Saccharomyces cerevisiae S288C: one gene and its partner. The gene in region 2 interacts genetically with the main gene of each other region. Each region holds a gene or a part of one and is shown on either strand. Other genes may lie near its edges.

Region 1 (3,760 bases), on a different chromosome or scaffold from region 2:
TAACTTATCTCAGGCTTGCTGTGACTTTCTTATTTGAAGCAAAAACAGCAAAAATGAGAGATAATGCATAAAATCCTAATGCCATGTAAAAGACGTCAGTGAGAGATTCAGAAATTATATTGCCCAATTTGGAATGAGAGCCATCGAAATTGGTCTGCCTATAGATTACCAGATTGTCTACCGTGGTACCATCTGGGAGCTGAATATTAGCCTTGGTTAATTTCTTGATAGCAGCAGCACTGAAAACAGTGTTAGAGATGACACCTCCCAGTGCTTGACCTAGATTTTTGCAAAATGTGTTAAAAGTGGTAATAGAGACAAAATCTGATCGAAAAGTTGGGCTCTTCTTGTCTAACTGAATTTGAGAAGCGAGCATGGAACTTTGTGCCAAACCACCGAAAGCAACGCCAGGTAATATCAAAAGGCCGATGTGAGCAGAGTTATTGGCATTATTGTTCAATAGGGTTAATATACCCGCACCAACAACACCAAAAATGCTTGAAATAACAATAATCGGTTTGATTTGGCGGGTTTTGTCGGTGATAGCACCGCAAAGTATTGCTGTAACGACTGTAGAAATAATGCAAGCAACCAGGTGTACAGCGGCTCTCCAGGCGGAATCATTGTAAATTAATTGGAAGTATTGCACAATATACGTAAACTGACTGATATATCCTGCACAAGTGAGAAACAAGGCTATATTAACCGTGAAAATACCTGGTTTCTTGATATTTGTCCATGACATTAATGGTTGGTAATGTGGTGTTGCTTTCACTATATTAAATTTGGGGAAGACAAGGAAATCATAGATACCTGCTAACACTACCAGGACTATACCGATGATGAAAAGAATAATGATGGATGCAGAGTTCCAAGCATACCGGTTACCGCCAAATGTGAAAGCCAATAGAATACATGTGAATCCAGCTGAACAAAACACAAACTCGATAATATCATACATGAAAATCAATTCCATGAACGGCTTTCTCCACCCATTAAGTTTGCTAAACCCTTTGATTTTCAATAAATGATATGCTACATTCCGAACAATTTCGATAAACTGTGATGGAAATTTGCGGATGTTATCCATTGTCTCTTGAAATGTACTTAAACCTGGGTTATAAAAGAACAGGAATAAGAAAAATGCTAGGCCACCGATCGGTAAATTAACATAGAAGCACCATCTCCATGTGACGCTGGAGGTGAAAACTCCTCCAAGGAAAGGCCCAACAACAGATGCAATAGCAAACGAACAACTCAAAACAGCAATTAGTATGCCTCTCTGCGACTCCTCTACCAGGGTTGAACCAATGACGAACGATAAACTTTGAATACCACAACCGCCGACTCCAGCAATAACTCTACCACCAATGAGCATACTCATTGAATTTGCTAAAGCAGAGATCAGCGACCCGATTTCAAAAATGACAATAGCAAATAGCATGGTCTCCTTGAATCCGATAGGTGTGGCAATTCTTCCCCATATCAACGCCAACAGAGCGTTTGGTAAGCTATACCCGGTAAATAACCACCCGATCTCAGAGTACGATCCAAACTGTTTAGCTACTTCTTCAATGATTGTAGAAACTATCATGATATCCAAGGCTGCCAGAAACAGCGACAAAGCCAATGCTATCAAAGATGCGTACAAGATAAACCCTTTAGGTAGTTCATTACTTTCGCTGGCGTTGTCCTCGAGCACCACGCTCACGTTTTGTTTTGATGTTGACTGCGTAGAATTTCGTCTCACAACATATTGTTTTTGCTGTTTCTCGTTCTGTTGTTGTGCTTTCTCACCGTAGTATGAGAGGTCGCTCATGCTGTAAGTCTTAGGTTCGCCTTTCATTGGGCTGCAATTTAGATACTAATGTAGACGTGGTGTTACTACAATTGTAGAAGAAAAGATACAAGATTTAAAGGACGTTGCAAGAGGGTACGGAAACTCTAGCATTATATATAATCAATTGATACAGTGCCGATTCTTTGATATAAGACATTTTTCTTTAAATTAATGTAGTGGTTCTGCTTGACACTTTTTATTGTATTTCCAGCCATAGCATATAGAAGCGCGGAAATACAGCGGATATCCGCTAGTTGGCGGAAATAATGCAAATTGGTAAGATCCTATGGTAACAGTGCAAGAAAGGGGCCTGAGTTAAAAAGAGAAAATGAGCCTATCCTAATGATGATAGCCAGGTTCATATTAACGTTGTTTACCTTTGTGTTCAAGATCAGGGGCTTTTGGCAGTATCTGAGCGAAATGAAATAAAGAAATTGATAATCACGTGATCACGGCTTTCTGGCTTGTAAAGCCGGTTATATTTATTTACCTTAGTAATACGTACTGCGGGGGCTATTGTTAAAGGGAAGAGAAACCAGAAGATCTGGAAAGGCAGCGATTATTAGAGGACAACTATAAGCATACATAACTAGCAGATGGATGTTCGTCGACCTATAAGGGAGGCAGTCAACAACAGGAGGAAACCAAAATTTTTGAGCGTTTCGTTTAACCAAGATGATTCGTGTTTCAGCGTGGCGTTAGAGAATGGATTTCGTATTTTCAATACAGATCCATTGACTAGTAAGCTATCGAAAACATTTAAAGAGTCTGCGACCAACCAATCCAGGGGCACTGGGATTGGCTATACCAGGATGCTTTATCGTACGAATTACATCGCACTAGTCGGAGGTGGTAAACGACCAAGGCATGCTCTAAATAAACTGATCATCTGGGATGATCTTTTGCAAAAGGAAACGATTACTTTGAAGTTTATGTCTTCCATTAAAGACGTGTTTTTATCTAGGATTCATATTGTGGTAGTCCTGGAGAACACAATAGAGATCTTCCAATTTCAAACCAATCCTCAAAGAATTTGTCCTATTTTGGATATCCCTCCCAATGGATCAGTGGACTATGTCGTTTGTAGCAGCAAACATCTCCAGTCGCAAGCATCGCAGTCACAGTCTAAAATCTTAGAAATCATTGCATTCCCATCGAATAAATGCGTAGGCCAAATTCAAGTAGCCGACCTATCACAAATAAAATATAATTCACAAAACCCGAAGGAATCAGCGCTTTTGCCCACTTCCATCATTAAAGCACATAAAAATCCCATCAAACTGGTTAGACTGAACCGTCAAGGCACCATGGTAGCAACATGTTCCGTCCAGGGTACACTTATAAGAATCTTCAGTACGCATAACGGTACTTTAATCAAAGAATTTAGAAGAGGGGTGGACAAGGCGGATATTTACGAGATGAGTTTCAGCCCCAATGGTAGTAAGTTGGCCGTATTGTCAAATAAGCAAACATTGCATATTTTCCAAATTTTTGAAACAACCAATACAGAAACGAATACACCAGACCACTCTCGTGCCAATGGTTCGAGCCATCCCTTGAAAAATTATATACCGAAGGGCCTATGGAGGCCCAAGTATTTGGACTCTGTGTGGTCGATATGCAATGCTCACTTAAAGAACCCAATCTTTGACGCTCACAGAAATGACAACAGTGGTGATGTAACTCACGATAACGAGTTCTATAAAGACAGATGTAGAATTGGCTGGTGTCAAGACTCTAATAATAGAGAACAAGACGATTCGTTGGTTCTGGTGTGGCAAAATTCTGGGATATGGGAGAAATTTGTTATTTTGGAGAAGGAACAACAAGATTCATCGAAAACGCATTATTCATTGAATGAAAGCTTGAGGAACGAAGATACGAAATCAGCGGGTGAGCCCACCAGATGGGAGTTGGTGA
Region 2 (3,760 bases):
TAATCAAATTGAAGGATGTTGAAGGAATTGATACTTTTATCCAGCATTTCGATAGAAAAGGCATTTGGAATGAAGGTGTTGTGATGGACGATATGGATGATGTGACGTTTTTTTATTCAGATAACGATTTTTTTGATTTAGATTTAATCTTAGAGCTTATGAAAGAGTCAGATTTTAAGCGTCTCTCATACAGACTTGCAAAGAAGTATTCAAAGGATTCATTAATTATTGTGGATATTTTATTGAATCTATTGCATAACCCTGTAAAAGCCATAAAATACATAAAAAGTTTACCAATTGATGAAACCCTAAGATGCCTTGTGACGTACTCGAAAAAATTACTGGAGGAGTCACCGAATGAAACTAATGCTTTACTGATAGAAGTATTTACAGGGAAGTTCAAACCATCCACTTTTGAAGTGGATCTGGACCGGAGAGATACGACGGGCGATTTTTCTGAAAATATTAGAACAGTTTTTTACAGTTACAAAACATTCTTCAACTACATGAACTCAAATGGTACATCAGACGCAATGAGCGAGTCTTCAGAGGCATCCCACGAACATGAAGAGCCTACTTATCATCCGCCGAAGCCATCCATTGTTTTCAGTTCATTCGTTACAAAACCTTTTGAATTTGTTGTTTTCTTAGAAGCCTGTTTGGCATGTTACCAGCAGTATGAGGGTTTTGACGAAGATAGGCAAGTAATTTTGACTACTTTATATGACTTATATTTGAATTTGGCGCAAAATGATGTACCCGAGCGTATAGACGACTGGCGTTCAAGAGCAACTGGCGTATTGCGTGAGAGCAATAAATTGGTGTATTCTGCCGCAAGTAATAATACTAGCAAAAGGGTGGATAACTCAATAATGCTGTTAATTTCCCATATGGATCAAAGTAGTGCTTCAGCAAAAGATAAGACGAAAATTGACATAGCTTCATTTGCCAATGATAACCCCGAGATGGATTTGCTGAGTACATTTAGGGCTATGACGTTAAATGAAGAACCAAGTACTTGTCTCAAATTCCTAGAAAAATATGGCACAGAGGAACCCAAGCTCTTACAAGTAGCATTGAGTTACTTTGTTTCTAATAAACTAATCTTCAAGGAGATGGGCGGTAATGAAGTACTGAAAGAAAAAGTATTGAGGCCAATTATAGAGGGGGAAAGAATGCCACTGTTGGATATAATTAAAGCGCTATCCCGTACAAATGTAGCCCACTTTGGGCTGATACAAGACATCATTATTGATCATGTCAAAACCGAAGATACAGAAATCAAAAGGAACGAAAAACTAATTGAATCTTACGATAAAGAGTTAAAGGAGAAAAACAAGAAGTTGAAGAACACCATTAATTCAGATCAACCTCTCCACGTACCCCTGAAGAATCAAACGTGTTTCATGTGTAGACTGACATTGGATATTCCTGTAGTTTTTTTTAAATGTGGTCACATTTACCACCAACATTGTCTAAATGAGGAAGAAGATACTCTAGAAAGCGAGAGAAAGCTCTTTAAATGTCCCAAATGCTTGGTGGACTTAGAAACCTCCAACAAACTTTTTGAAGCTCAACACGAAGTAGTTGAAAAGAATGATCTTTTGAATTTTGCATTAAACAGTGAAGAAGGTAGTAGAGACCGTTTCAAAGTCATAACAGAGTTTTTAGGTAGAGGTGCCATCAGTTATTCTGACATCACTATTTAATGATGGATCATAACGATCTATTGTCGCCGCCGCGTCACAAATGCGCCCCGAACTTGTCGCGAAGTTAATCTGAAACATATATGTTACCTACTGAAACAGCGCATGTTGGAAAAGACAAAGGTGAAGACGAAGTTGTATATTTAAGATAGACCCTTTATACATCCTTTTGAAAAAATTATTAATGTGGCAACCGTCTTTTATTTGACAAAGTATCTTTTTTCTTTGTGAAACCAATTTTAGGTTTTCTTGTTATAGTAAGTTCTTAAGAAAAAGACAAGAAAACCCCTTGCGATGTTTAAGACTTCATATAACTTGTACGATTTGAACTATCCGAAAAATGATTCATTAACGCCAATAAGAGACTACAAAAATGACTATTTTCATAAAAATGATGACAAATTACCAGAAATTGTTAGAAAACCTACGAGAAAGTTATCGAAACATGAAAACAAACTCAACGATAAAAAATTCACGAATAAACGACCAGCAAGTCTGGACTTGCATTCTATAGTGGAGAGCCTGAGCAATAAAAAAATTTACTCTCCTATTAACACAGAGATATTTCAAAATGTCGTGAGACTGAATTTGAGCCCTCAGATTCCCAATTCTCCTCACGAGGGATGCAAATTTTATAAAATCGTACAGGAGTTTTACCTCTCTGAAGTGGAATATTACAATAATTTGTTAACCGCAAATAACGTATACAGAAAGGCATTGAATAGTGATCCAAGATTCAAGAATAAACTTGTCAAGCTTGATTCAAGTGACGAGCTATTGCTTTTTGGGAACATTGACACTATTGCGTCAATCAGCAAAATACTGGTAACGGCAATAAAAGACCTACTTTTAGCCAAGCAACGTGGGAAAATGTTGGATGCGAATGAATGGCAAAAGATATTCACCAAAAATGAGGTACAACAGCAGCTATATTCAACTTTTGATATTTCAGAGGCGTTCGAGCAACATTTGTTAAGAATCAAATCCACCTACACAAGCTATTTTGTTAGCCACCAAAAACAAATGGAACTATTTACTACATTAAGGATGAATAAGAATCATTTTTTTAACAAGTGGTATGAATATTGTTTAAAAGAGAGTGGATGTATAAAGTTAGAGGACATATTGAAAAGCCCGATGAAAAGACTGACTCAGTGGATTGATACTTTGGAAACTTTGGAAAGCTGTTACGAAGATATTCTTTCGCCAGAATTGGGCTTGAAACTAAGCCCGACAAGAAGAAAATATTCTTTATTTTCCAATAAGTTAGAAACCGAGGTCTCCGAGTATAAGAGTAATTCCATGTATAATTTCAGTTTAACCCCATCAGAGATTATACAAAGTTATGATGAAGATCAGTTTACACACCTTTTAAAACCCCCAGACAAACAAAATAAAAATATATGTAATGCATCTCGACAAGAGAGTAATTTGGATAATAGTAGAGTTCCTTCTCTTCTTTCTGGATCATCGAGTTACTACTCAGATGTATCAGGGCTAGAAATTGTCACTAATACTTCAACTGCCTCAGCTGAGATGATAAATCTAAAAATGGATGAAGAAACAGAATTTTTTACATTGGCAGATCACATCAGTAAATTCAAGAAAGTAATGAAAGGTTTGTTAGAATTAAAAAAGAATTTATTGAAAAACGATCTGTCAGGCATTATTGATATCAGTTTAAGAAGAATAAATGCATGGAAAAAGGTGATCGAGTGCGAACGCCCTTCTGGTGCATTTTTTGCGCACGATAACTTAATATCGACCATGTGTTCTTCGTACATAGATAAACTGCATGAACAAAAAAATCAAGTAACAATTTTGAAACTCACAGAGCTCGAAACAGATGTGATGAACCCACTTGAAAGAATCATAGCCCATTGTACTACCGTTAAAAGCAAACTAAAAGATTTGCAAGCTTTGAAGAAAGATTACATGTTATTTTTACAAGAAAAAAAAGCAAATGTGCGAGATATTAAACGTGACTTGTTGGGAATGCATTTCCAAAACCTGCAAAACCAGATGAAAAGGGAATTACCGGTCTTTATTACTTT

Evidence for each region.
Region 1: mutations in FUS2 (region 2) and AZR1 together harm fitness more than expected from each alone (negative genetic interaction), as found in Saccharomyces cerevisiae (2 studies listed by BioGRID).

What each region holds. Positions count from the first base shown.
Region 1 is NC_001139.9:940,892-944,651, reverse strand, and holds AZR1 (azole transporter), read right to left. Parts: upstream 1,847-3,760; coding exon 5-1,846; downstream 1-4. Other genes in the region: phosphatidylinositol-3,5-bisphosphate binding protein HSV2, read left to right, coding at 2,437-3,760. UniProt on the Saccharomyces cerevisiae protein: Transporter protein required for adaptation to high stress imposed by low-chain organic acids, in particular by acetic acid, and for resistance to azoles, especially to ketoconazole and fluconazole.
Region 2 is NC_001145.3:734,926-738,685, forward strand, and holds the start of FUS2 (Fus2p), read left to right. Parts: upstream 1-2,000; coding exon 2,001-3,760. Other genes in the region: tethering complex subunit PEP5, read left to right, coding at 1-1,709. UniProt on the Saccharomyces cerevisiae protein: Promotes cell fusion during zygote formation.